Rhinolophus ferrumequinum: one gene and its partners. The protein of the gene in region 4 interacts with the protein of the main gene of each other region in a pairwise test. Links are inferred from orthologs where the notes say so. Each region holds a gene or a part of one and is shown on either strand. Other genes may lie near its edges.

Region 1 (8,011 bases), on a different chromosome or scaffold from region 4:
ACATTCTCTTTAACAATAATGTCATTCTCATTCGCTTGGTCATGGTCAATGTCTCTCTTTTATGATTATAGTTGAAAAGGGATGTTACCATTAAATTCAAGAAATTCCTTATGAAGCCTTTTAAATTCTTACTTGAAGTCTTCGGGGTGGATGCCTTTTAATAATACTTGTTTCTCCCTGTTCCAGTGGGATGTCAAAATACATGGTCCTGGGCACTTGAAGGATTAGGGGAGAAACAAGACCAAACCATTAAAAACAAATTTACTGTTAAATTAGGCTAATCATAAGTTATTAGACTTTGTTGACACAATTTTGTATATATATATATATATATATACACACACACACATATATATGCATATCTATCTATATATATGTGTGTGTGTGTGTGTGTGTGTATATATATATATATATATATATATATACACCTGCGAGTTGAATATAGAGATGAGATGAAACATATAAAGCAGGGACCCTACATGAATGCAAATGATAAAATATTAGCCTAGACTCAGGATTTAATTTCTGCTTCCCTCATTTTCTCCCGAGAGTGATATTTAGAGGAAGATCTGCACAATTCATATATTGACGACCAATGTTATTCAAGCATAGAATTTGGCCTGAAAAAAGAAACTTACCGATTTATTTTAATGTCATGGAAATCTCCCCCAAATCATAGAGGAAATCAGAAAAAAAATACAGCTTTAAGAAATTAAAATAAATTCTCTTTTCAGATGAAATAGATAGATGGATAGTTATTAGAGAGAGGTGATAAAGAAATGGAGCATGAGTGTGTAATAGGACTGTGCAGGGCTGAGCATTGTATGTCCCTACTTGAAGAGTCCCCTAAACTAGGGAAAGACATTCCCACAAATTGCCACATGTCAGCACTCTTTCCTGATAAAACAACCCAGGGCTAAGCCTCGTTAGAAACAGAGAGGCTCAGGAGACCCATTAGGAATTTGATTTTTTGGCTTGGTTATCCTGGGCCCTGGGACCACTACCGTGGACTTCGACGGCATGAATGAAGACCCCGTTCTTTCCTCTCAACAAGATGGAAGGAAGCATTCTGACTTCCAGATTGTTGTGTAGACTATTCTACAGTCCCACTTTGCATTTTAAATGGAAAAATTCCTGGGTAATGATGTGTTTTTATCCTTAAGACATTGGAATGACTACCTTAAGAACTTCACTAGGTCCTTACTTTTCAAGAGATGCCTGCATGTTGAACAAAGCAGAAAGAACAGCTGCGACAACAAAACACGGATTGGATTTAAAAATCTAAATATTTTCAGCACAGTTTTCTTAAGCAGCCTGACTACTTCTTATTTGTATACTACGATTTGGGAGATATCAACCCATTATTTAATTTGATTCTCCCAAAATGGCATAGGTGGTGTCAGGCAGTTATTTTCACCCCTGATTTATAGTTGATAAAAAAACAACTGAGGAAGTAAATTGCCCAAAGTCATACTATTTGGCATTTGGTGGAGCTGGAGTTAGAATATGGGCCCCTTGAAGATAGTGGTCAGAATGCTCACCATCCTCTTGTTATTTATTTTTACTGTGATTTTGCCATTTATAAAATAAGAACATTTCCTAGTTGGAACTCAAATGCATAAGACTCAGCTTTTACCATTCAGTTACCAAAATCTTAGAATTCTGGATAAAGGGTTCAGATAAAAAAGAAATTCTTCGATGAAATTAAAAGGAAAATTCCCACTCATGCCCTTAGGAAGTTGAAGAACATAAGAACATAGGTCACAGAGAGCCAGTCAAAGGTTGTCAGTTATAGAAAATAGCAGTGAAGATCATTCTAGGTAAGATTTACTAGGTACCGAAAGAGACTATAAGGCTTTCTGGCCAAGCTGACCAATAATGAAAACTTATTTGTGTTATTGATCCAGAATGTGAAGAAAAGAGAAAATTACTTCCATATATACATTTGTATACATTGTAAATGTACTTTTCTCAAGTTAGAATGTCTGTTTAATTACTATTGTGGTTGACATAAAAGAATTTACATGTCTTATAAAATACCCCAGGATAATTTATAGCCACTTCAGGCTCAAAGTTTCCTATTATAATTGGGAAAAATTCTCTTAGTTCATCAGATGACCAAGAAAAATATGCAGTTGGGGAAAGGGTGAGTCATCCACTCATCTGTACTGCAATAAATCAATCCTGTTTGGGGTGGTTTCCAAATTCACATTAGAATGAACTCTTAAAATGCTGCTTTCAAAACAACAAAACTTGATGCATAAAATTATGCTGGAAAGAATGATTTAAATTTAGAATCTAACTGAAACATATGATTTTCATAATCGATCACACCTTTATCTAAATAATTTTAATTGTCTGGCAAAGCTAAGTATAAACATTGAAAGCATTATAAACTAAGCTGAAACAAAATGATTTTTCCTTCTCACATGGAATGGTGAAAAGCCGTTTATGCAGTTTACAGACCCATTCTAATGTACCCAGGATTCTTACAATTGATATTCTTTCTTTCATCAAAAAATGTTCCCTTATATTTCAATAAATTTAGAATTTTCTGAGATTATGGGGATGGACAGTCAGATAACTCTGTCAGTAGCTCTCCTTGACACAAATACACAAATCTCAGGCTGGGTTTTATGTTTACCTGCAGAATATCTTCCATACCAGGTCTCTCTTAGAGGTGGTAGCTGCCCTTCCAAAGCTTTATTCCGGTCCCGGTCCCGCAGTCTTGCAAATGAATAGGAACTCGTTTCTTCCAGGTTCTGGTGGAATGCGACGTCCACAGAGTGGGCTGAGGGAGTCTCTTCCTCTTTGATTTGCAAAGGTGCTACTTTGGTCACTCTAGGATGAGTTTTAGAGTGGCTCAGGCCCATTTTACGTTAAAAACATTTAAAAGAAAACCATGAGGGAAGTGGTTTTGGGCCTATAATGTAGCTTGTTTTAATCAAGGCATTACAGACGTTTACCCAGATTTACAAAGCAGTTGTTTCCTTCATGACATCTTTGTAGCTCTCTTTCACTACACTAACCCCTCTGGCCACTTCCTGGAAGGCTGGTTTCCATGGAGACTTCCCATCAACTCTCACTTTGCCATTTCAGACCCAAAGAATCCAGTTAAACATTGACTTATTTATGCAACTTTCTGAAAGGCTTAGGGGTAGGAAGAGAAAGCTCTATTGATCATTAAACAAATCTGTAACACGAAGAAGGCCATTAACAGAGATGGAGAGCAGAGCTTTAAAGAAGTCGTAAAGTTGTACCTCTTATTGCACGTATTTTTTAAACACCATCCATAAGAACTACCAGCTAAGAATAGCTAACTCACCTTTGGACATGAAGGGGTGCATGCTAGTAATCTAGAGCTTCGTTAATCTTTAATTCTAACGGAATGGTGGGATTATGGGTGATTTTTAGGGTTTTTTTTAATACTTAGAAACAGAACTCACTTTCCAGATCTACTTGTTTATGACCACAGATGACTAATGTTTTCATCATATTCCTGTAGAGAAGTTCAAAGAAATTTATTTTCCATTTTGCAAACTTTGTTTACTAAGAGGCTAACATGGGTTTGGAAAGTCTTGAGAGTCAATAGAGTTCATCTAAAAAGATGTTTGAGTTTAATTTTTTCCTACTTAATTCCCTTTGCGTTTTAACACTTTTTTTTTCCTGTGGCAGAGAGACTGCAAGAAAGAATCATATATTAGCAGTATCTATAAACAAAATTACCTCTGGTAACTAGAGACTATTTTAATTATAAAGATTAAAATCTTTATACTTTATACAAGTACTTGAACAATATCTAGTAAGATTTAGTTTTGGATACAATCAGTTTATATTTCTAAGGGCTGGGAAAGGTATTGCAAACTAACAAATGAACTAGAAATTATATGGGAAACTGTGGACTCCCTGGATCTGGATCCAGTGGGAAGAATTCAGCTCTCATTTTTTAAAAATCTACTTTATTGCTTTATTATCTAACTTTGAGAGACTATATGTGTGGAGAATATGAGCCTTTGTAGAAGAAGTTGATTAGTTGTTGAGGAAATTACTACAGAAATGAAGGTTCACACCATGTTTGTTTCTCTTTTTTTACTAGTCACAGCCAAACTTTGCAATTGGCATAGATTACCTAACCATTCCATGCCTCAATTTCCTCAACTGTAAAATGGGGTTAATAATAGTAATCCGTGAGGAATGAACAAATTAATTCTGTTTATAGCTCTTAGAGTAATACCTGAGGTGCAGTAAGCTTGAAGTAAACATTAGCCAGCATTCTCCTCCTGAGGAAGTATTGCTACATGTCCGCATGTAACAGGATAGTCCTTATCCATTAAAATAGACATTTTCCTGTGTAAAGTAAGACAGGAAAAGACCAATGAAGAAAGGGTAAATTATTAGGTTGGTGCGAAAGTAATTGCGGTTTTATGTTCTTTGTTTTTTTGTTTTTTTTTTTAAATTTTATTGGGGAATATTGTGGAACAGTGTGTTTCTCCACGGCCCGTCAGCTCCAAGCCGTTGTCCTTCAATCTAGTTGTGGAGGGCGCAGCTCACTGGCCAACGTGGGAATTGAACCAGCAACCCTGTTATTCAGAGCTTGCGCTCTAACCAATTGAGCCATCTGGCCGCCCCTAATTGTGGTTTAAAAGGTTAGAAATAATTGCAAAAACTCAATTACTTTTGCACCAACTTAATAGTTGGGCCTATTTAACAATGGTGCTTAAGGATTATCATTTAAAAAGTGTTTATGTACTGAAAGAATTTTTATCAGAATGGTGATGAAAAATAATTTCAATTTTATTAAAAGAGGAAAAGGAGAATTTAATGTCACCTATAGAGTTATATATAAGATGTAATTTCTTAACCATAATTAATTTCTAAGAGTTGGAAACCATGAACAAGCTCTTACCCACCCAAATCTTGCCCACTCTTCAGACTATCTGTAATACTTTATAATGATCCCGTCCCAGTTCCAGAATGGTTATGAATATGTGTGTACAAGATGATACAATAGGATGTTATTTGTAATAGTTTAGGAATATGAAATGAGAATATAAGTTTATAAATCTCTTACGATGAGGCAGACAAGGGACTAAAGTTTGTTAAAGCTGAAGGTAGTGCCCAAAGAAAACTTCATTAAGACACAGGGCACAGAGGACAGAGAAGGTGGTGAGGCCCCAGAGGAGAGAGGAGGAGGAGGAACTGAGAGCCAAGTGCGCCAGTCCACGTTAGGGACAGAAGCCCCCAATTTGGAGCCGCTCCACGGGCAACCTGACCATGGAGATCCCAAGAAATGTGCTTGCACAAACTCTGAGTGCTCAGCGCTTTTTTGCCTCATGTACAGAACACCTTCGTTCGAGACATGGAGTGAGCTAAGCACAACTGTCCCATCTCCTAACCCTCCTCTTCAGCCTTTACGTCCATAGGGAGGGAAGAGAAGGGGGCAAAGCTACAAAGCTGTTTTTCTCCGGCAGAAATCTCTGCTTTTGTTCTTGGTTCACTCTGTGGGGACAGAGTCCCAGAGAACAGTTCCCAGGCTCTCGGCTTCACGTGGAAAGGTGCTGGCTCTGGTAATAGATGGCCCTCAGCTGTGACTAGTTGGCTATTGACTGTTACCGGTTGGCCGTTAGCCACTAATATAACGGCCGTGACTACTCTGGGGGGTTGGTTGGTTGGTTGGCAGAGAAGCAAATGGCGGATTGCAGATTGTGTGGCTCCTGCTTCCTGGATCTCCAACCCAGCCACCAGAGAGAATATAGTGGTATGAACCCCCTATCCATGGCTCCGTTGGTGTTCCTTTTTGGCCTCACCATATCCTGCATTCTTGTGTGGGAAGCGGGACCAGAGACCCTGCATGACACATGGCGCAGTGAGTAGGGTATAGTGCCAGCCAGAATTTTCAAAGGGGTAATGGAGCAGTTTATACGTATGAAAGCTGTTTCGAGAGCAGGGTATGGTGCCCACCGGGGCTCTCTGAGGGGCGGTGGAGCAGTTTGTGCATGTGGACACTCGGTCTTGGGGGGCCCAGTGGGAGTGGCTGCTGGAGAGCTGGAACCCCATGGAGGGGTGGGAAGACGTGGATGGTTCTCCAACCAGCGTAGGCCGGAGAAAGTGAAGGGTTTTGCAGCCGTGGGGGCTGGGAAGGGCTTGCTGAGGCAGCCCAGATGCGGGAATTGTAGGCCCAGCAGGAAACACTTGATGAGTCCTCAGTGGAGGATGTGGGTGAGGTCAAGGTCGTCCCTCACTCCCGGGTTGGGGAAGACTTGGAGCCCTCGCCCTGTGGAGAGGGCACACATTGTGAGGACAACGCACAGCCCTGGCGAATGACTGTGGACTATGGGGAACTGCCTCCCATCCCTGATTTGATGGACCACTTGACTGTTTGCTTGGGAACGTACCACCGTGTAGTGGAACTGGCAGATGTTTGCTTCCTGTGTCTCACCCTGCGGCCAACGAGACTGTGGTGCAGGAAGACCCCTTGTTGAGGTACAGCCGGATGTTTACTTCTTGTGTCTTGATCAGCCGCCATCGAGAATATAGTGGTATGCCTCCCTTATCTATGGCTCCGTTGTTGTTCCTTTTTGGCCTGACCATATCCTGCATTCTTGTATGGGGAGCGGGAGCTGAATCCCTGCATGACACACTCCTAACTTGGGCAAAGGTATAGAGGAAGCTTGTTTAGTGGATTTAAATTCTATAGTAAATTCAATGAACATTCATAGGAGATATGTGGATTTTCCTGCACTCTAACAAGAAAGTCTACTTTTGAGTGACAAAGGGCTTGAAGTATAAATTTGGTACAGGGAGTGGTGAGGTACCTTCTACATTTCCTTACAGTCTTTTATGGCCTGGTTTACACTGCAATATCTCATCAGAGCCAACAAGACAAAAGCTTTTTTTTTTTTTTTTTTTGTGCAGAAACATTCCTTATCTTTGTTCATAAGATTGTGAGTTGAAAGCTCTTGCCTTTGATGGACTTCCCAGGGTCACCCACCCTCTCTTGGTAAGATAACCTCTTGGAGATAAGGAGGTTGGTGGTAGGGGCAGTGAAGAAAGGCAGGTTTTTCTGCAAGTATTTCACCAGGTACTACTTGAACCAAATAGGTAATGGTGACTGCAATCACTGTAGGTTCTAAGCAACTACAGACAAATGTAAAACCATAAAAATGCTCAGTGGCTGTGTACATTAATGAGTGGTACATTTTAAAATATGAACAACCTAATATTAGAGAACTAGGTTTCGTTTTTAATGGGATATGGATATATACATTTGGATGTTTTATATTAGGCAGGTGATAAATGCTAAGGTGATTTTCCTTAAGATAGGACAGTAGCGGTCTGGAGTCAGGTTGGTTAAATTGCCTGTTGATGTTTCAGCATATGATTTTCTTGGAAAGGCTCCAGACAGATTTTAAAACAACATGTATATAAAGATTGCTTAGGATTGGATTTAATTTCACACGTGGGTTAATTACTCTGCATCGAACATTCAGTAAGTGGGGTTTAAATCCTAATTTACAAGATTCCTAAATTATGTTTCTAATAAAATTACAGCCTTTTCTGCAATTGATATGTAATGGATAAGCAATACTGGAGACTTTTCAGAGATGTGAATTATGTGTTTGGATGCCAGCGAAGCGGAGTTGATGTATGACCCAGACCTTAATTTTCCTCCCAGTGATTATTTCCCTCTATATTTATCCATACGTTGGGTGTGAGGGTGACAGTACTACTAGACCTACTTGGTTTGGAATTGCCGAAGCAAAAAAAATGGAAAAAAATTGTGAATTGAAGCTTCTTATATAAACTATTAAATAAGATCAGTTGAATGAGATGTGTATCTTTACCTTTTAAATGCAATCTGCAAGTATATCATTGAATTAAATGTTAAAACCAAACCATCACATAATTGCTATTCTGAAGACAGCCAATGTATGAGTTTCTTAAAGTACTTAGACCAAAGAATTTTTGTATGTTTCATCTCTCATTGGGAGGACATCAACCTGGTTATAAT
Region 2 (7,803 bases), on a different chromosome or scaffold from region 4:
CCGGGCCAGTTCCTCCACTCGGCGGGACACTGCTGCACAAAAGGGAAACAGCCCCAACTCGAGACTTGCCTGCCACCAGGGCTTTCCTTCCCACGGAGCAACTTCCCACGGGCTAGAGCAACACTGCGTCCAAACAGCTCAGTGCCAGACACCTTGTGCAGGGATAACTTTTGCTGTCAGTATTCTGGGGACAGCAGGGTCAGAGGCCTGAAGTCCCTTACTCACAGCGCCAAGGACGGAGCTGGCAGGGCTGGAATGGGAGCTCAGGTCCTGAGTCCCTCCAAGGGGCTCCTGGGGCACCAACAACCCACTGGTGGGGAAAGTGGATCTGGGCCTGAAGTTTGTACAGGCCTAGTGTTTCCAGGTTAGTGTTCACTGTGGGGGAGATGCTAAACCCAAGTGAGAAGCTGCTCTGTTACTTCTCCCCAATAATTAGTTTTATTTGAAGGGATCCATTGCTCTCAAGAAGGGTGGAAACGCTTGTGGGAGGGAAGCAAAGGGTCTTTTTGTGCAGTGAATAATAACTCCATCTTGGCTGTGGTGCAAACTGGGGTTTTCCCTGGAGGGTTTGCCCCATACCCTTCACCCTCCAGCTAGCTCTGGCTCCCCAGGGGACAGAGTCAAGAGATGAGCCCCCTGGAGGGGGGGGCAGGGACAGATACACTGAGAGATGGAGGATGGGGGAGAAATGGCAGGGACCCCAGAAGAGTGAGGGCTAGGGGAGGCCCTGACGTAGCCCCCACTGGAGCCAGGCAAAGGTCTGGGTGAGACCAGCCCCAGAAGACCAGGAGCAGCCTGTCAGACAGGGTGGCCAGGTGCCAGCGCTGGGACAAGGGCCACCTCTGACCAACGCCTGACCCAGGAGGCCTCTAACGAGACGTGGAGGTGCTGGGCGGCCCAACCTACCGGGCATCGTGACAGTGAGGGTGGTGTCTTCAAGAAACCTCTCCGTCCAGTACACCGATGGCCTGGAAAGCACCCGGGCGTGGCTCAGGGCAAGGGGAGCAGGACACAGGCTCCCTGCACCCTGCTCTGAAACAGAACTCAGGGCACCCCATACACAGGTGCACAGACAGGGTAGCTGGGGCACAATGGGGTGGAGAGACCAGTGGGAAGGGAGGGGACAGTGGAGACGCAGGAGAAGGGCAGACTCAGAAAAGTCTTACAGTCACAGGGGAAATGTAGATTATTTTGAGCAAGGCTGGTGTTCAGAGAAGGGGGGAGCCAGAAAAAGAAGGCAAAAGTAAGAAAAGGGCCCCAGGGCCTGGCTGTTTCCCCCCAACTTGGGCAGGACTCAGAGAGAGGAGACGCCCCTTGGACTCACCAGTAGACACAGAACTGCAAGGTCCTCGTGCATGGGGCGATCCAGGCATAGCCCGTGCAGCAGCACCCCGTCCTGCGAGGACACAGGCCCAGCCCCCACCTTGCTCTGCAGCTCCCACTTGCTCAAACGCCTCGCTGTCCGTAGCCAGCATCTAGAGGCTACCATGGACCACTGTGGCCCCCCCAAGTTCTCTCCGTTCACACCCTGACTTCTCACCCCAAGTTTATTGTATGGGTGACAAATGGGCCCCCCTGGGGCTGCTCTCCACCTCATGGACCCCCACCCCTGCCTCCAGCGAGACCACCAGCCCGCCACCTCACCTGTCTTTCAAGACATGCCAGTTGGTCTTGGGTTTTGCCAGTTCGAAGAGCCGCCTGCCCTTCTTCCTCCTTCTGGCCATGGAGGTGCTGGGGAACCTCTGGGTGATGGAGAGCCGGCTGTGGGGAGTTGAGTTGGGTTGTGAGGCTGCAGCTGCCGGCTTTCCAGCCCCGAATCTCCTCGCCCTCTGAAGTGGGGAGGCGCGAATTCTGGTGGCAGAAGCCATGGACTGCAGTCCTAGCTCCAGTGGCACCAGACTTGTGACCCTGGCCAGGTGGCCCACTCCCTCCACTGTGCAATGAAGAGAGATTTGCCCAGCCCTCCCAGGATGGCCGTTTTCTCAGCTCGTGTGTGTCTTGGCCATGAGGAGGAGTGGGCCACAGAGAGGCCTCAGGGAGCCCTCACATAATAGGCTTGAAGGTCCTCCCCGGCCCCTGTTACTGCACCCATGACATCAGAGGTCAGTTCGGCAGACATCCATCTGCGGTATGGGAGGTGACACCAAAGAGGGCACCGGCTAACCCACGGGGCTGCTTCTTGTCTGGCTGGCCACAGTCAAGAGCCCAGAACATGGCCCGGCAGAAGGACAAGGGATAACAATGCACACAGTAAGTCACAGCGGAGGCGGCACTTGGCTCTTTCCAGGGCAGCACCCCTGGCTAAAAACCACTCCCCATAAATGCTCAATTCACCAGTTCCCAGTTTGCTCAGGATGTGTCCCCCAGGCTTCCTAACTGGCTGTGGCAATGTGCGGGCTTGGACTGGTTGCGGCTTCTGAGTTGGAGGATGTCCCCTTTTCTTTTTCTCTCTGTCATACTGGGGGCCACCTCTCCTGACCTCTCAGCTCTGCCATCTGAACGCTGTCTGACTCCAAAATGGGCACTGTTGTAGGGTTTCCCACCGTTACCCACCTGCTGCCTAGACAGGTTGTGTTTGCCGACTTTGCCTCAGAGGCCAGTGAGGGTGCTGCCCACATGGCCCCAGGGGGACCCAGCCTGCAGCACTGCCCGGGGCCATGGGCTGGGTGTGGGCACGCTGCTCCCCCCCCACACCCGAGCCCACCCCCATGCCACCTCATCTCGGGCACTGCTTCCTCCTCATCTTCGTCCAGAACACTCTCCAACTGCAGGATGGCCTCTCCTGGGGCCCGGTCATCCAGGAATTCTTCCCCGGCCAACTCCTCGGGGGGAATTTCCTCTTCTTGGTCTTGGAAGCCCAGCCCCCCACCATCTAAGTCCTGGTATTTGGGGTCCTTGGACCCTGGACTCTCACGCACAGCACTCTGGAGGGCCAGGCCATCATCATCCGGCCCCCTTCCTGACCTGCCCTCAGCCTCCGTGTGGTGGTTGTGAGTCAAACTCTGCCGGTGGTCCCCCATGGACAGGGCCCTCCCCAGCCCAGCAGTCTTGCTCCCAAAACACCCAGTGTGTCACCGGGCAACAGGACAATGGCCTGGCCACATTCTCGGTGTCCACATTCCACTCTGCATGTGCCCATTGCCAGGCACTGCTCACGCTCTGCCAGCCTTGACCCCTCACTCGCCCTCCCCTGTCACTGCCTTCCTGCTCCAGAAGTGAGCCGGGCATGTCCCCTGCTCAGTGCTTTTGCACTTGCTGGTCCCTCTGCCCACACACGTCCCAGGCAGGCTCCTCCTCAGGAAAGCAGCCCCATTTCCAAGTCTCTCTGCGTCCCAGCATCTGGTTTGATTTCTCCATTTGGCCTCATCTACAACAATATTGACTTGTTTTCTTCTCGGCCTTGTAGAAAGTCACCTCCCCAGACCAGGAGCTGAGTGTCCCATTCTGCATGTCCTAGTGCCTGGAAGATGCCCGGACCACAGAGGGCTCTGGGGAGGAGCAGCTGAGTGAGTGGTTAGATTGGGGGCAAGCTCCATGCTGGAGCAGACATGACTGCATCCCATATGTCTTCCTGGTAAGAGACGCTTTGTCTCAGATCAGAGGAAGTTCTGGCAGTTATAGTTCACCAGTGGTTCCGCCCCTCCCAGGGCTGCTCTGGGAATGAGACCTGAGGAGCGTCTGCAGGGGTCTCCTAGGAATGGCTTCTCTCACTTGACAGGAGACATGAGGAAAAGACCCAGCTCCACTTCTTGGTTATTTATGGGGCTGTCTGTGATGTCTGGAGCTAAGGCAGCCATTCTGTGACCATGAGACCTGCTTGTCCGAGGACGGTGAGCTGAAGGGTAGGTCTTTGGTGGCATCACTGAGCCTATGAACTTGGCAGCCCTGGAGACTTCTCTGTGTGTGAGCTTCCTAGACAAGGAGGGAAGAGGACACCCTTCAAGTTCCAGCCCCAACAGACTACATGCAGCGAGAGCTGACACACTGAGCCTACCCCAGCGTGCAGTCACACCTTCATGATTTTAAGCCACCAATTTGGGGCTGTCTGTTATGCAGCAATCCTGCCCTACACAAGTTTGTCAAAGCAGCCAGTAGCCCTGCGGTGTCCCTGACAAGTTTCTGCCTCAGGAGGGAGTCTCCATGCCACCTGCCGCTGGCCTACTGAAGCCCCACGCCCCCATCAGCCTGTGTCCCCCCCATCACCCTGCAGCGAGTATGCCCCTCAATTTTCAAGTGGCTGAGTCTTCCCAGTTTGACTTTGAATATCACCTCCCCCTAATACCCTTCCCAACCTAAAGCAGGGCTTTCCTCCCTGAGTCGATGAGACTTTAAGGTGGTTGTTCCACAGCATTTACCATGATCTTATTCCACATTGCGTTTTTAACTGACTTTTTGCCCCATTGGAATATGAGGCTTCCGTGGCTCGGGGACCGTCCTAGTCTTGCTTCTGCCAGGATTCCTAGCACCCAGAGCAGACTGCACCGGCTGCGGTTTTCAGTGACCACAGCGCCGGAGATAAGCAGCAGTACCGCAGTGCGGCCGCAAGAGGGCGCCCCTCTCAAGGGCATGTGGGTCGCTCCGCTGGGCTTCGCGACACCGCCTCCTGGAAGCCTCCCCACAGTCCGTCCTGCGAGATGGGCTTCAGTATTGTCACCACCATTTCGAACACAGAGGCCAAGTCATTGCCCAAGATTGCATTCAGCGCTAGGCTGCCTCCGGGAGGGCTCAGCATTTGCGACTCTTAAGTATTTGTAAAATTCAGCAATGATGGAAAAGGACCTTGACTGAAGGGCATTTTCTGTGGCAAAAGCTGAGGGATCCGGTGCCCTTCCTGCCTCTGGGAAGGGGTGCCCCAGCGGAGGCAGGAGCAAGGACTCAGTGCCAACCCCCTCCACTGCTGCCTTTCCAGCACAATCCGGTTCCCATGGAGACGCAAGGAGTGAGAGAGACAGTGATGCGCAAAGCTCCTCTGCCCCGCGCTCGGCCTAACACTAAATAGTTTTCCCAAAACGCGGGGGATACGTGAGCTGGGCGGGAGTCGGCATGGCAGTCCTGGGAAAGGCAGCTGTGGGCGCCGTCACTTCCCCTACTCCGGTGGTGAAGATGCCAAGAGCCCGGTGAGGCCTGCGGATGGTGCCTCGCTCTCAGAAGAGCCCTGGAGGCAGCGCGGGGCCTCCATCTGCTACATGTCCCTTAATGTACAGCGGGTGTCTCTGGCTCAGTGCTGTGGATGCTTGGGTCATCTCTGTGGGCCGTCCTGGGCTGTCCTGCGGGGTCCAGCAGCATCCCTTGCCCCACCCACTCGATGCCAGGAGCAACCCAGTCGTGACAACCACAGGTGTCCCCATCGCTGAGTGTCCCCGAGTGAGAATTATTCATACCCAGGTGAGGCCTGGTGTGGTATGTCCCATCACTAACAGTGGGATGAAACGTACACCATCTGCTCTTGCTAAAGCAGCAAAGCATCGCTCAGTCGTGTTTAAGAAACTTCCACCCTGCAAGGGCACTGCTTGGGCTTGATTTCTCGGACCCAACGAGGACAGTCCATCTTTCTCCAGAGGCAAGTGGTTTCACAGTGGCAGCAAACACCCAGGGGGTCGTGGCTTCTTAAAACAGAAGCTCCTTTCTTCCTTGCAGAAGTCTGGGTACCTGCAGCCCATGCCCAGTGCCACACAGAAGGAGGAGGACGACTAGGTCCCGTCCTTTTGGCATTTTCTTTTTCCTTTTCAGTGTCAGATACCATGTACCCTACGTGCAGGGCTTTCCACAACAGACCAGAGCCATGCAACAGCCCCAAAACCCCCAGACCCTTTCGTCTCCCCTCCCCCAGGACAATCACCGTCCTGACTTCTAACAACACTGATAGGTTTTGGCTGGTTTTCACTTTATAAAATAGAATTTTTTGGTATTTGTTATTTTCTGTCTGGCTTCTTAAGCTCAAAACTGTGTCTGTGTAGTTTGTCCATGTTCCTTCTCATGGCTGGGGAGCCAGCCACTGAGTGGACGCACCATGATTTTTCTGTCCATTCCACTGCTGACAGGAACTTGGATAGTTTCCAGGTTTAGTACTCGTTACTTTTGAAGGCTCACCCACTCTTGCTCACATCACTTGGCTGACACGTGGTCACAGGGCCATGCTTGGTCACAAAGAAGGCTGGAGAGATGCACACCCAGATTCCCAAGGCCTCTAAGGGGAGGCTAGAAGTCTTCTCTGTAGATGTCTTTGGCAGTAAAGCAACTAAAAATCCTGCCTCAGATGGGCGTAAGCAATGAGGCAATGTGTTATCTCCTCTGAAAAGAGGCTCCTGGGCTCCTCTCCACTGTGCGGCTCCATGGTTCTCTTGGCTATGCCATGAATTTTCTATGATATTCATTCTCAGATGGGCACCAAAATGGCTGCAGCTGCTCCAGACATCTCATCATAAAGCTGCAATGGCCACAGGCAGAAAGGGACCATTATCCTGGGCCTCCCTTTTAGGAGCAAGGAAACCTGTGATAAGCAGAATAACAACCCCCAAAAATGTCCACGCCCGGATCCCCAGAACCTGTACATGTGTCCTTTTGTATGTCAAGGGGAAACCGAGGTTCCAGGAAGAACTAAAGTTGCTAATTGGCTGACCATGAGAGATGGTAGATGATCCTAGATTATCTGATGTCTCAATGTAATACAAGGGCCCTTATAAGAGGAAGCCGGAGGCAGAAGAGAGAGAACCAGAGATGGCAGCGTGACAAGTGAGTCTACAAGTTGAAGACATCATGAGCCACGGAATGGAATGCAGTAGCTTCTAGAAGCCGCCCCACCGCCCTCACATTTTATTGGCCAGAAAGGAGTCACATGTCCACACATAAGCCTACCCCAGCAAAGGGGTGGGACACCAGTGAGGGTTTAAGCAGCACCCAGGTAGGATGGGTTTCCCAGAGTCACATGGGATGGGGACTGGATGCCAGCTTCTATCCTCAAGGAAGGAGCTTGGCGGGCAGACTACAACCCTGGAAGCATGAGGGACGGAGCAAGGGGGGGTGTCCACATGTGTATGGGGCAGTCACAGAAGGCCTGCAGGGTGAAGGGCAGCTTGGAGATGCCCAACATGGACTGGCTGTCCACCACCAGATGCCACTGCCTTGCCCAACAGTAACTCAGCTAATGTCTAAACCTCGTGCCCCCAGGAATTTACACTGTACTTGGACTGGGTTGAATTACGTCTCCCCAAAAAGACACGTTCAAGTCCTGACTCCACAACCCCAATTGATCTAAGAGGACCAAGGGGAATTTCACTGGCAGTGGTCCCCAAGGCTCTATCAACCCTGAGCATCCCTAAGCTTGGTGGGGGCCCCCTCCCCCAGGCTGGCTCCTCTGAGCTGTTGTCTGCTGACCTGGCTGCCAGCATCTGTTGTCATGGCAACCTGCTCGGTTACCAAGGCCCCCTAGTGAGACATCATTGGGTCAGATATGAGATGGTTTCCATGTGAAATTTCTCAACCTTGATACTGTACTGGGTTATAAAAGAAAATTTGTTTTTTAGAAAATATATGGTGATGTGTTTGTGAGTGAAGGGTCATTGCACCTCCAATGTCATCTTAAATAGTTCAGGAAATGCATATCAGTATACATATATGCACACAGGTAACAGGTAGATGCAGACCATACAGCAAATAGGGCAAAATGCATCCCACTGGGGAATCTGGGCAGAGTCTACAGGAGTTTCTGGTACGTATCTTTAAATTTTCTGTACGTTTGAAATTATATCAAAATGTAAACTTGTGAAGTGCATGACTTGACTCTCCAGCTGTAAACAGGCCCAG
Region 3 (7,056 bases), on a different chromosome or scaffold from region 4:
TGGCATACTCAGAGGACAGCTTCTCTACATTTCCTGATAGGGAATAATTTTGTACACATATATGGACCAGACTCTCTGCGGAATTTATGAGGTTCAGGAAAGATGGTTGGTAAAATCTTGATTTCTGTTCATTTATTTCAATAAAAGTTCAATGGAACTCTGAAAAAAGAAAAACAAAAAACCAAAAAAACTCCTCCTGATAGGGACATAGTGTTGTCCTTGGTCTATAAACACTAGTGCCCAGCATGGCAGTCATAGAGCTGAAAAATGATGAAACTGAGGTACAGAAGAGAGAAAAGATGATCTCTGATTATTTCCCCCCTTAGTTCTCTTTGTGGGGAAGGAAATAAAAGAGAGGAGAGAAGTATCTCTGCTCTTTTTCCTTCCTATGGGTAACCTTGATCCCACCACTTTTTCTTTTTAAAACCCCTATGGTCATTAACAACTTGTTTTGGAAATTCTTTCCGCTTCTGCATTCCTCCACTTTGGCCACATCTTGACATGAATGATATTGTTACTCTGGCTCCGGCAGGGACAGAGGGACCTTCTGGGTGATATGTTTATTATTGTAAGTGACATGAGGCAAGAATAATTTAGGACAGGTCAGAGGGGAAGTTTGTGATTTGCAAAGCACCATTGGAAGGCAGAGGTGGGAGGGCACGTGTGGGGCTCCTTCTGGGGGGCTCAGAGCCAGGCGATGGAGCAGGGCTGCTGCCCCAGAGAGAGGGCTTATCCTCGTTCTCCTAAGCATGGGAGCAACAAACAAAAAGCATTCCCCAACACCCAATCCTCAAACACGCTTTTCTGTATTTCCAGGACAGGAAATAGATCCCTAGTATAACATTTGAAACTGTACCTTACTTTATATTCACAAGGCATTCTTCATTTCCTGCAAATTGGGTATAAAGAGATGAGAAGACCAACATCTAGAGACTGCATGTGATGTTGCAAGCCATTTCTCAACACAGCTCTTATCCTTTTGTACCAATTACATGTCTCTTAGGCATATGCCAAGGACTTTTCATCAGTGTTGACCAGGGTTTCTTAAAAGGAAAAGCAATGCTCTGGAAGGGTCTACATCTCTTGTTGTGTTCTTTGGGCTCTTAGAAACTAAGAATGCTTTTTTCTTGGTAAAACGAAGCCCAACCATTAAGGTTCATGTTGTTCAATAAATCATAGGTTGGAAAAAAGTTTGCGTAAATTACAATTTTTTCATGAGTCAGGACCCAGAAAGCTTGTGCTTAAACCAAATCATTTAAGAGAACTGCTTAGCATAAAAGTGACCTGAGGGCCAGCCCAATGGCTCAGGTGATTGGAGCTCCGTGCTCCTAACTCCAAAGGCTGCCAGTTCGATTCCCACATGGGCCAGTGGGCTCTCAACCACAAGGTTGCCAGTTCAACTCCTCTACTCCCGCAAGGGATGGTGGGCAGCGCCCCCTGCAACTAAGATTGAACACGGCACCTTGAGCTGAGCTGCCACTGAGCTCCCAGATGGCTCAGTTGGTTGGAGCACGTCCTCTCAACCACAAAGTTGCTGTTCAACTCCTGCAAGGGATGGTGGGCTGCGCCTCCTGCAATTAACAACGGCAACTGGACCTGGAGCTGAGCTGCGCCCTCCACAACTAAGACTGAAAGGACAACAACTTGACTTGGAAAAAGTCCTGGAAATACACACTGTTCCCCAATAAAGTCCTATACCCCTTCCCCAATAAAATCTTTAAAAAAAAAAAAAAGTGACCTGATTCAAGTCAAGCATCAGACAAGGCCCTCAACTCTCTCCCATTTTCAAGTTGCCCCATCCAATGGCTCCCACCAAGCTCAGAAATCCCTTGACTTCATTTCTCCCCTCTTGTGTCTTTTCTGCCCCATAGCCCAGACATGGACTTCTTCCTTTGGATCTAGGAGATAGCAGCTTTTTACAGGAACACTTCAGGCCTCCAACCCACCATTTCAACACAGGATATTTCCAGGTTACCAGGGGGTAACTTGGGGGCAGAATGAATATTAGAGATGTTCTGCTTAGCCTGGGTCACCTGGGACCGTTAGTAGAAAAGCACAAAATTATGAGGCACAGAGGGAGCAACAGCAAGAAAACTGACCAGGTCTTGAGAACCTGTAGTGTGCAGGTACTATGCTGGAACAATTTCATCTCCACCTCACAGCAATCCTGCCCTGTAGGGATGAGGAATGTCAGAGGCAAAGATGTGTCAGGTCTCATCTGGGAACTAAACTCTATAATCTGAAACACTGCCCAACTGCACTCAAAGATGTTTCTACTGCACTGGGTCACCAGTCACAGGTCACCACCTGGTGATCACTGAGTTGTCAATGGCAGATTCTGTTGGAGTCTTGCAACATGTAGAACAATCCTCAAATTGATCATTTCCCCTGACCCCCTTAATACAGATACCTCTGCAAACCAAATATACTAAGCCAGAACTGGATCTAAAGAATCAGAGTTTATAAGGCAAGAGAAATTTATAAGGAAATGTTCTTTGTTCCCATTCTTGAAGGGGATCCCAATTCAAACTCTACAGCATAATTTCAAAACAACTCACTCTTTCTCTATGATCAAGTTCTCTTTCACCACTGCCAACGTCACGACCACCACTCCAGCTGATCTGGAGCTTAGGTGCCAAAGCCCAAACCTCCTTTTTCAACAGCAGCCCCCTTTCCATCCCTTCCTTACTTAACCGCCAACTCTTCTTATGTAGATCAGTTTAGCCCCGCCCCTCTCCCACTCCCCACCCACCACACAAAAAATCCTTTTCATTGAAAAGAGATTGTGAAAAACCAAACAGGTTGATAAATGCAAGATTTTCTTTCAGCGATATAGCAAATTAACATTAAGGCATTAATAGCATATGTTGATATTGCACATTATTACGTTAACACTGTACATTATTACTGTACATTATTCCATGAGTGTTATACGTTCATATATTCATACTATTGCCCTCACCTTGATGTGGTCAGGACTTCCATTGGGATGGACCCTTTCTGGTACTCCAGCTTGGGCTTGAAGGACTCTCTGGGCAGGTAAGAGTGATAGAGAGGGTAGTTCTCGGTGTATTCGGAGAGAAGACATGGTTTCTCTGTTTTATCGTAAATCTTCGTCGGGAGATATGGACAGTGATGCCGCCTATAAAAACACATGAGCTTGGGTTGGTTACCTTCTTGTGAAGAAGACATCCAGTTTGATAATGTTACTTCCTCAAAATGTGACCCACACTATAAAATCATGACTGTGGGCATTGAAAACAGGAATTTTACTCTTCCTTTTCTCTACCAAACTATGCGAAGTGGCCAGAATTGTTTACATGAGCTAGAACTGCTATTGGTTAATTGCCAAAATCCCTTGGATCATAGAATTACACACAAGCATGGCTGATGTTCAGCCGTTACACTTGCCATGCTGCTTGTTGAAACACTTCCCTCATAATGGGTAAATGGTTGTGGCCAACAAGCCCTCTGAGTGACAACCCAGCTGCCCCAGACCCTCTCCCTGAGGCCTCCCCAAGCCTCCCAATCACCCAGAAAATAAGGGCTTAATACATGACAGGGTGTTCCAAGGCCGTGCTCTAGGGCCAGGATGCTGTCTTCCCTCATTGGCTTCCGGGTCCGAACATCATCCTTGCACACAAGTGGCCTCATATAGCGGAACCACCTCAGTTCTGAGTATACTAAATGTCACTGACTACATGAAACCATTTGCACTTTGAAAGTCTGGCTCCTTTATTCTTTCAAGTCTTACCTCAATTGTTACCTCCTTAGAAAGACTTCTACTGATCATTTCAAACCTAAAATACACCCCATCACCCCTTCCCTCTCATAGTTCTCTTATCCCCGTGTATGCCTTTCTCATCACTCACTGTTATCTGTAATTTGTATGTTTGTCTATTGCCTGTCTCCTCTGTCAAGCTCAGGACCTTCTCTATCTTGTTCACTGCTATATCCCTAATACTTTATATCCTCCCTGGCACACAGTAGGCATTTGGCACACATTTATTGAACAAATAACTGAGCATATAAATGAGTGGTTAAATAAACTCTATGCCTCACTATACAGTAGGTGATAAATAATAATTTGCAGTTATAATTTATAGTGAGTTTTTCCATTTTATATGCACAGTAAAAAATGAACCTTATTATTCTACCTACTGCTAGACAAAGGGCAGCCATTTGAGCTCCAAAAACTAAGAAGTGTATCAATTATTTGTGTGCCCATATACAAAATCCTCACAAACAAGTTGGGGCAATTCTAGTCATCAGACACCAGTATACTGATAAAACTTCATTAATGATTTACAACTTAATTATATCAAGGAATGGCACAGGATTATTGCAAGTTTTTTTAATGCTGAACTGATTTGAATTACAGAAACTAAAATACACAGCACTCTGGGGCAGCACATAGGGGAGGAGAGAAAGAAAGGAGAGAAACAGACATACAGAGAACTCACCACTGCTCTAATCTAAACTATTTTCCAGGCAACAATTAGTACGTTGCTCCTGTTAGTAAGTTCAGCTCTCTACGTAAATGTTGCTGCCACCACTGTTATCACTGTACCCTCTTCAACTCTCCAACCCCCAGAGGAAATGATCGACACCTGTATTGTTCATATGAATAGAACTGCATATAAGCAAGTACTTTTACAGATATCCCAATTTATTTTCCTCTCATTTGTAGATTTGTGCCTTGAAAAAGTCTTAAGATGATATAAACTTGTCACATTTACTTTTCTTTTAGTTATTATAAAAAGGCTATTTATCGAGGGGGCCAGCCCAGTGGCTCAGGCTGTTGGAGCTCCGTGCTCCTAACTCCGAAGGCTGCCGGTTCCATTCCCACATGGGCCAGTGGGCTCTCAACCACAAGGTTGCCGGCTCAAAAGGGATGGTGGGCAGCGCCCCCTGCAACTAAGATTGAACACGGCACCTTGAGCTGAGCTGCCGCTGAGCTCCCGGATGGCTCAGTTGGTTGGAGCGCGTCCTCTCAACCACAAGGTTGCCGGTTCGATTCCCGCAAGGGATGGTGGGCTGCACCCCCTGCAACTAACAACTGCAACTGGACCTGGAGCTGAGCTGTGCCCTCCACAACTAAGACTGAAAGGACAACAACTTGAAGCTGAACGGCACCCTCCACAACTAAGATTGAAAGGACAGCAACTTGACTTGGAAAAAAGTCCTGGAAGTACACATTGTTCCCCAATAAAGTCCTGTTCCTCTTCCCCAGTAAAGTCTTTCAAAAAAAGGGGGGGGGCTATTGATTCATGGTGAATATTTTAAATTTCCCTAATTACGTACAAGGAAATCTTCCACAAATATTCTGTCCTTGTACTATGAATATCTGAATTTTACAGTATTAAATACACTCAGTGACAGTTTAGTTTTCCTTTTTCAAAATACACATTGTTGGCATTTAATATATAAAGATGAATATGTATTTATATTTTATATATATTTAATAAAGTATGTCCTAATCATAGGTACATGACTTGAGTGCTTTAATCTTCTGTCCACTCAAGATAAATTGTTGTGTTTCATGGTAAACAAAATAACCATCCCCTACAGTTTAAAAACATTAGCCATTATTACCATTTCCGGGCTCATGATCAGTCCAATTATCTGAGATTTCAATCTGAGCCAATTAGTACCCTATTATTTTAGTATTCCTACAAAACTCAAATCAAAAGCCAAGAAGTGTTGGTAACAAAAATATATACCACAGATATATTTTATTCACCCACACTCTTTGAGAGAGAAGTAAAGATTTTTATCAAGGATAACTTAGATTCAGTCACTTGCAACAAAATGGACTCCACAGACATAGCAATATTTGCTCTCTTCCAGTGCCCTTGTTTTTTTAAACCAGTAAGACTTTGCTTTTTATCTAACCCCCTTTCCATATTGTTCCTTCTTAAAACTGAAACATACTACAAAGTCTTATTTAAAAAAAAAAGATAAATTTAATGGCAAAATACTGCACTGTTATTGCTATCATAAGAGGGGATTTTAGTATACAACACACTTGCATCCAGAGATTGGCGTTCTATTATATCTAATATATATTTATATCTAATATATATTTATAGGGCAGGTTTTCTTTATTTGACTTGTTGCCAATTAACTAGAATCTTGTCTCACTCTGAAATACCAAAGTTCTTATTTGAAAGTAAATGTTTCATTGTCTGAGTTTGCTCATGGGGTAACCTCCTTTCCTTACCTGTACCCAAACACCCTGAATATCCCTCTCAAGTCACCAAGCACCATAGATTCTCCTTGTTGGTCTTTACCCATGAGTTCCTCAAAGATAAAGACCAAGTCTGACATCTCTGTGTTCTGGAAGCTAGCCCAGTGCCTGGTACACTTATTTAATAGATGGATGGACAGTTGGACCGTGTATAAAAGGATTATCTACTGAAAGAAAGATATTTACAAAGAAAACGAATTGTTCTAACATTAGTAGAGCGAAAAGGGAAAAAACAGATTCTCAGTTTTTATGGATCTAGATCATGTCTGAAGAAAGTTTATGGAATCCCCATGCTTGGGGTATTTAAAAGTAGTCTTGAGAGTCATGAGCCAAAGAAATGAGACCTCTTCGAGATCTCTGATACTTGTATCATTTTAGGGGGTGTCTTGGTCCCCTTGATCAAGAGCACACCCAAACAATCCTATGTGGGGCCAATGGGCAGTGAAGAGAAAAGGGAGGGAGAAGGTGCTTTCACCTGTCAGAACTCTCTTTCCACTCCAGGATTTATTTAAGGGCCAGAAGTAAAAGGAAATAATGCTGACTTTTTCTGATATATGGTAAGGAAGTAGTAGAGAACTTACAATGGAATCCAAAAAAAGTAAAACAAAAGTTGACTCCAAGGTAGAATCATAGAATTTTACAGTTTGTAAGGAGAACAGCATCTGTGGAAATCCATGACTTGTCTTGCCTCTAGCACGGTCCTTTGGGATCCCATCCTGAGCCTAGCCTGACGGGGACACTGAAGAGGGCTCTCCTTCACTCCAGGAGACAGACTACGGAAGCAAGAAGGTTTGATTTCCAATCCT
Region 4 (7,187 bases):
AGTAGGGGCTATGCTGTAGGGTGGACGGTATCCCCCTTCTCAGTCTGCCCCCCACCACTCGGGCCTGGGTTTCCTCTGGCCCAACATCTGAGGGTTGCCTGGGCTGTCAGCCACTGGGCAGCAGGGGGCCACACAGGTGGAGTGAGTATGGCCATGCCTCTGTCCCAGAGTGCCCTGGGCCTTTTCCTTCCTTCCTGGCTTGGCCCAAAGCATCAGCCACCTTCCCAGGCCCAGGCTACCCTAGGGCCCGCCCCCTGGAAGGCAGTCACCACTCTGAGACAGGGGCACCCCAAATAGGGTATGGGCATGACTTCTGTTTCCTTCCCAGAATGCCCTAGTCTGTCCAGCTGGGCTCTAGTGAGGACAGAATGAAGGGCACTATCAAGGCCCACCTGTCTCTGCCCATTCTCCGCCTCCCCCTTTCCCTGGCAGGGCTGGGGGAACTGAGGGAGCCAGTCTTGTGTTCCTTCATGGCTGGTAGGAGAGTGCAGGGGAGACTGCTCAGGCTGCCAGATGGCTCTCAGCCCTTGCCCCCACCAACACACACACACACACCCCTACACCTGACCCAGACATACAGCTGGCACCTCAGTGAACCTCCTGGAGCTCCGAATGGCTGGATAAATGGCTGTGGCATGCATGTGGTGTGCAAGGGCTTGAGCTGTGAAATATAAGCCTGGGTGATCTTGGGCAAGTCACGTAAGCTCTCTGAGACTATTTTCCCATCTAACACTATCTCCTACCTCCTGAGGTGGTTGTTGTTGGGCTTAAATGTTAAGATACTTAGAAAGCACCCAGCAGTTAGTTAGTTAGCAGTCAGTAAAGGGAGCCTATTAGTGTTCTTCTTAGCCCCTCCCTCATTCTGGGTTCAGACAACAGGTACTCAGCCAGGCCTGGGTCGGGGAGCACCCAGAATTTGACCTGGACCTTCTCAGTGTAGGCCCAGGGAGAGAACAAAGAGGAACCCCTTGTTCTGCTGGGGGCACCAACGAGGCTCAGGCTATCAGGCTAGCCCGACTCCAGTCAGCATAACTGACACCCCTCACACAGGTACACAGGTGCACACACCTGCATGCTGCTGTGCCTCTCACAAAGTGCACACCCACCCACCATCTCAGCAGATCTCACAAAAGGCAGGCGGGATAGTGTGTCATCTCCATTTTACAGCTGAGCACAGAGGCCAGGGACAGGGTAGGGGTATGCTCAAGGTCATTCAGGTAGCAGAGAGCCCAGGGGCCCTTTCCTGTTTCTCTTTCCCTGGAAATGCTGCAGGGATGGTGGAGGGGGTGGTCAGCACTTTAGGAGCAGGAGGACATGAGATGCTGGATGACATCAGTAGCGCAGGAACCCAGCTCTTCGCCCCAGCTGCCAGCCCTGAGACTGGAAGACACCCAGAAGCCTTTCCAATTACCCATGCCAACTACTCAACCCTTTTGCCCCCCTGCAGCCCCCAATGTCCAGGAGAACCCTGGCCAGGTCCCACAGCTGTGAGTCAGGATCTGAACAGACCCCTTCTCCAGCTCCCTGGAGTTGACAGGAGACTAAAGGGGAGAAACTGAACTCCCCCCACACCCACCCCTGCTATCACAGGCACCAACCGCCCCCCCCCAAACTCTCCCCTCCCCCCCACGGGGCCTGGGAGTCACAGCAATTTAGGGCAGGGGGAGGGGGTGGGAAGCAGGATCCAGCAGCTGTTCTGGGGACGAGAGGAATAGTTCATTCACCCTGGGTCCCCCAGGGCTGAAGCAGCCCATCCAAGATGAGTTTAAAAATAAATTGGGGCTGTCTTGGTGTATGCCTGGGGCTCCTTCTTGAGCTCAGTCTTACTGTCTCAGCTCCTCTCGTCATGGGGACTCAGCCCAGAGTTTGTGTTTTCCCACATCCTTGCTTCCCAATCTTCTGGGCCTGAGTCTCTCAGGGTCTGTCTTGGAAGCTGTCAGGGCACCTCCATTAAATCTCAGTCTCTCGGTGACTAGCTCTGTTCCACTCACCCTGTGCCTGTCTCTGCACACTTCAGCAGCTGTCTGTATGTTGTGGGTCTCTGTCTCTATGACTGGCTATCTCCAAGCAGCCTCCCTCCGTGGATTTCTACCTCTGAACACCCACGTCTGCTCTCTTAGTGTGTCTATGGGGAGGAATGCCTTGGTCTCCACCCCACCCCACCCCAATTCTCTACCTCTTAGCCTCTCTCTATGCCTGAGTGTCTCTGTCTCCAGTCTCTGAATGTCTCTGTAGGCCTCACAGAAGCTGATTCACCACAAGGCTAAGGAAGCTCAGGCTTCTGGGACCCTCACTTGCCCAAGGTCCTGGAAAGGGCGCTATGGCGTGTTCACTAGGGTCATTGTATGCCTTTTCTTAAAATGCTCCACAAAACCTGCCTCCGTCCCTATGCCTCCGGTCAGTCTCTCAGAGTCTCTACGCCCAAGTGGAGTCCCTGTTTTAGATAACTGCAGCCTCCTGTGTAAGCCTGTCGTTCGTGTCCCGGTCTCAGTCTCGGTCTCTTGCTCCACCCGGCTTTCTGGGAGACTCAGTTTCTCAGAACCCTCCGGTCTTTCTCTCGACTCGGACTTTTCTATTTCAAACTTGGCCCCCTCCCTCGCCCAACTCTCACAGTAGCGCCCGCCCCGCCGGAGTACCGGTTGCAGTGCAGACCCGGGCTCAGCGATCTCCCGAGATCGGCGCCCTAGGCGCCCGCAGCCGGACCCAGGCGGGGGCAGGGGGCGGGTCGCCTCCGCTCCCTTCCCAGCCGGAGGGCGGGGGCCAGGAGCTGGGATCCGAGCCGCGCTCGGCAGAGAGCTCACCTCGAAGCCGGCGGCCGGAGCGGGGAGCGGCGTTCGTCGTGGGTGAGGGTGAGGGGGGCCGGGAAGCCGGGCCCGCGTCCCTCGGCGGCTCCTACCTGCTGGCCGGGCCGCGCGGAGGCCGAGCGAGCTGCCGGCGAAGCTGCCGGCTGCAACCGGACCGTGTGGGCGATTGAGAGCGCGGCCCCAACCCTCCCGAGGAAGTGTGCGCGGGGGCCCGCCCCGCCCGGACCCCGCCCCCGGCCGCCCCTGCCCGCGGGGTGCGGAACCCGCCCCCGGCCCCTAGTCCCCGAGGCGGGGGGCAGACCCCGCCCCCACCTCCCTTTTAGACTGGGGCCCCAGTCCCCCTCCTCCGGCCCAGCCTAACCTGGCTCTCTCAACCTTCCTGGGCGGCCAGGACCCCGCCCCTGTCCCTTCCTTGCCGCTTCTGCTGCCCTCGCTCCCTGCTCCCTCCACTCTCCTCCCCACCCCCACCCCCCCAGCCTCAAGCGGGAGTCTGCTGTATTCAGTCTCAGTTAAGGGGTACAGGACCCAGCTAGCTGATCAAGGTCCTTTTGGGGACCAAGAGTCTTCATGCCCTCTTTGTGTCCCCCTCCTCCCAATTTACCCCCAGGGGGTCACACTCAGCCCGGGTTTGTGAAAGGGGCCTTAATCTAGCCTGGAAGAGAGGGTGGTTTTGACTCTGCCATCACGGCCCTGTCGATGGGGACCTAGGTGTTCTCTGGAAAGAGGAGTGAAGAGAGGACCCCACCTCCGCCCTGCAGTAGCGCCTTGACCTTCAAAGGGCTTTATTCCACAACTCCGATTGGCAAAAACAGAAGTAGTCACCACCTCACCTCCAGGTGCATCCTGGGACCGCGAAGTCCTGTTTAGGTATCCACAGTGCCCAGGAATAGTTTTGACCTTTGAGGCCCCAGGGGGGATTCTACTCCTTGGCCCCATGATTTTTGGGCTTCTCGGAGAGCGGGGTGAGGAGTGTGCGCGGTTGAGGCACAGGGCAGGGAAGTAGAGGGAACCCCTCCTCCCCCACCTCTACAGTTTCCAACTCTCTGGCTTCCTCCCTGTGCCCGGGAGGGAGGACTGGCGCCTGCCAGGGACACAAGGCCCCTCTAGGTCCTTGAGGCCAGCCCCCCTGGGATCCTCAGGATTGTCACTAGGAATAAATAGCCTTGATCTGGAAGGGTGGGGGGAGGAAGGAGGAGGCTCTGCTGTGCTGTTTGCAAAACATGAAACAACAAACCAACCCTGGAAATAACCTTCGGCATCTAGAGTAGAGATTCAGAGCCTCTCCCATCCCCCAGGCTGGGTCCAGCCAAACTCTCAGAGCAGAGACTCTTTCCCTTCCAGGCTGGGATTCCTTAGTATCCTCTTCTCCCATCTCTGAATCACATGCCTGCCTTCCTGGGTCCCAAGTCACCCTCCAGACCAGATTTCCTCTCAAAATTAACTAATTGCTTGTTTATTATTGTTGTTCCTGTGTCAAGAGGGCAGGAAATGGGTCCTTTCTGTTCGCCACCACTTTTCCAATACCTACTCTAATGTTCGGATAATAAATATCTGATGAATGAATGAATGAATGAATGACACTGCTTCAGTTTGGATACCCCCTTTCCTCCCAGTTTGGACCATAGGCATCTGTTATCTGGAATCCAGGGAGTGAGCAGTCAGACCATGGGTGGGCCCTTTCTCTGGGATTTGTCTTGCAGGTGTAGGAGACTCCCAGCCCCAGGAGGTTCAGGGAAGACTGCCTGCCATTTTCCCCGAAAATAAGATCGGGTCTTACATTAATTTTTGCTCCAAAAGACGCATTAGGGCTTATGTTCAGGGGATGTCATCCTGACAAATCATGCTAAGGTTTATTTTCCTATTAGGTCTTCTTTTCGGGGAAACACGGTAGCTGAAGTTAGAGGCCAAAAGGGTTCTGCTGTGATGGGGAGGGCACAGGTGAGCAGCTTTCAGAAAGGGAGGAGTTATGAGTGAGTGAGGAAGGTGGATCAAAGGTATAGTTGGGGGTCTCTAATTTTTTACTCACAGCTTGAATTTCTGCTGAAAAGCCTTAACAAGAGTCCATCTTTCCTGAATTCTTAACTTTGTACTAGTACCTAAGCACTTTACATATATTAGTGCACTTAATTTTCCAGCAACTTTATGAAATATGTATTTTTATCCCTGTTTTAAAGATGGGGAAATAGGGGACAGAGAGAGTAAGTAACCCGCCAAGGGTGACACAGCTAATAATGCCAAAGCCTGGATTCAAATCCAATCAAATATCAAAGCTCCTTAGGCTAAAAAAAAAAAAGAAGCTTAACTGTTAGGTTCTAAGCCTCTGTAATCATTTAACCTCTTTAAGCCTCAGGCTCCTCATCTGTTGAGTGGTTGACTCTTGTCTCATAGCATTCATGTGAGGATTGGATGAGAGCACACAGTAGGTATTTAATATATGGGACCTCTTCCCCACCCCGGACACCCACACACATTCCCTTTCACAGTCAAGTGTTAAGGTTCTGCTGATGATGAACTTGGAGTCTGGAGGCCAGTTAAGCGACTTCTGATTTGGCCCAGCCTGGGGGAGGGACTGTTGTAGGCCAGGGGCTGTTTATCATTGTTGTTTCTCATGCCTACACTGTAAGTGCCCCTCTGGTTCTCCTCCACATTTCTAGCTCTCCAGTGGGCTCATATTTCCCTGCCCGCTCTATTTCTGTTGACCCAGGAGGACATGCCCCAGGGAGGTCTAGGGATCAGCCACATGGACTCCCTGTTCCTGTTCTCTATCAGTCCCCCTCCCTCCCTATCTCTGAGGAACAGGTGTGTCTGAGCTGGGGCTGGAAGCAGAGCCTTAGTCCTGGACGACCAGCCTTGGGTGAGTGGGATCTGGTTGTCCCTTTACCCACCCAGGTGGTCCCCACACACCCTTATCTTGTGGTGGAAGGGGGCTTGCTCAGGATCTCCCAGCTGTTCTCTCATCTTGGAAGGGCTTTCAGAAGGTGGCCTCGGGTGATGACTGACAGGCCTCTCGTGGTTTCCTCTTGAGTACTGAATCACTCTCTGATGCTTGTAACCACAAGCCTCCTTCCCCCAGTGAGAAAATTTCCTTCCTTCTTTGGGTATATTGCTCACCCTTACCCTTTGGACTGCCTAGAGCCCCTGCAGGCGGATTCCAGGTTTCTTTATCCCTTCCAGTGTGCAGAGCTGTCTTCTCCTGGGTGTACCTATTACTCAACGCCTTCTTTAAGGGAAGCAGCAGGAGTGACTGGGGCTGCCACCAGGTTACTCTGACTAATGGCTAGGCTTCTGAATCAAGAGGAGGCTGGAAAAGTGGGCATAGGCCAGATCATAAAGGGCCTTGTCTTTCAATGGTTAAGTAACAAATGAGATGGAATTTTGTTAATGCATGTGGCCCTAGTTGGGCAAGCCTCAGACTCAGAAAAAAACTTTTCACACTTCAGATCTCAGCTACTTTTAGGTTTTATCATGCCCACTGGTCTATTGGACTTCCACTTCTGGGGAATGAAGAGAGGATTTCCCCAGAGCTCCTCAGCAGGAAGAGTGAGCCCTGTCGTGAGAAATGGATGTAATTACAGCTGAAATCTAGCTTTACATGGTGGAAACTAAACCCAATGCTTCTGGAGTGCTCTGCAGTGCCCAACCCTCTCTCAATCCTCACATTTAGGTTTAGTAATAACAGTAATAGCTCAAAATTGAGAACTTGCTAAGGGGTGAACACAGCATTTTAAACATGTTACAGCGGTACCTCGGTTTTCGAATGTGATCTGTTCCGGAAGACCATTCGAGTTCTGAAACGTTTGAAAACAGCCGACAGCTAGGCCTCAGGATCTTGCACTCAGTGGACGCCGCGTGACATGTTCTACTTCCGAGGTGTGTTAAAAAACTGAAGCATTTACTTCCGGTTTACGGCGTTCGTAAACGGAAATGTTCCTCAACGGGGAAATGTTCGTCAATGGAGACGTTCGAAAACCGAGGTATTACTGTATTTCATTTAATCCTCACAATAATTCTGTATTACTACCTCAGTTTCACAGAGGAGGAGACCAAGGTCGAGTGAAGCTAACTTTTTCTTGGCTGGTAGCAGTTAGGATCAGAACACACCTCCATGGTTTATGGTCCTAATCATTTACATGGCACTGCCTCTGACACTCATGCTGTCAGCCAGCCATTCACTTGAGGGTGTAAGGCTCAGAACTTTATAACTACTGCCATGATATCACTCCTCCATTCAGCTGTGAGTGCCTTGATGGCTCTTTGAGGCAAGCAGCGCATGCTATTATCTTTGTTTTATGGCTGAGAAAAACGATGCTTATTAAAATCAAGCGACCTGTCAAAAGCCACGCAGCCAATGAATGGCAGAGCCAGACATGGTTTTAAGGTCCG

The links.
Region 1: the proteins of FHL3 (region 4) and CCDC198 interact in binary tests that used the Homo sapiens proteins (3 or more experiments, as listed by UniProt). The two-hybrid records come from large-scale screens. The link is inferred for Rhinolophus ferrumequinum from reciprocal best matches to the Homo sapiens genes FHL3 and CCDC198.
Region 2: the proteins of FHL3 (region 4) and THEG interact in binary tests that used the Homo sapiens proteins (3 or more experiments, as listed by UniProt). The two-hybrid records come from large-scale screens. The link is inferred for Rhinolophus ferrumequinum from reciprocal best matches to the Homo sapiens genes FHL3 and SPMAP2.
Region 3: the proteins of FHL3 (region 4) and SAXO1 interact in binary tests that used the Homo sapiens proteins (3 or more experiments, as listed by UniProt). The two-hybrid records come from large-scale screens. The link is inferred for Rhinolophus ferrumequinum from reciprocal best matches to the Homo sapiens genes FHL3 and SAXO1.

Annotation. Positions count from the first base shown.
Region 1 is NC_046289.1:36,461,672-36,469,682, reverse strand, and holds the start of CCDC198 (uncharacterized protein CCDC198), read right to left. Parts: upstream 3,001-8,011; 5' UTR 2,874-3,000; coding exon 2,645-2,873; intron 216-2,644; coding exon 133-215; intron 1-132. UniProt on the Homo sapiens protein: May be involved in tuning the metabolism, energy expenditure, and excretion processes.
Region 2 is NC_046301.1:62,346,277-62,354,079, reverse strand, and holds the start of THEG (testicular haploid expressed gene protein), read right to left. Parts: upstream 3,021-7,803; coding exon 2,716-3,020; intron 1,762-2,715; coding exon 1,645-1,761; intron 1,397-1,644; coding exon 1,325-1,396; intron 969-1,324; coding exon 907-968; intron 33-906; coding exon 1-32. UniProt on the Homo sapiens protein: May be involved (but not essential) in spermatogenesis.
Region 3 is NC_046295.1:20,399,569-20,406,624, reverse strand, and holds the start of SAXO1 (stabilizer of axonemal microtubules 1), read right to left. Parts: upstream 3,001-7,056; 5' UTR 2,986-3,000; coding exon 2,963-2,985; intron 1-2,962. UniProt on the Homo sapiens protein: May play a role in the regulation of cilium length. Stabilizes microtubules at low temperature.
Region 4 is NC_046292.1:26,548,403-26,555,589, forward strand, and holds the start of FHL3 (four and a half LIM domains protein 3), read right to left. Parts: upstream 3,015-7,187; 5' UTR 2,802-3,014; intron 1-2,801. UniProt on the Homo sapiens protein: Recruited by SOX15 to FOXK1 promoters where it acts as a transcriptional coactivator of FOXK1.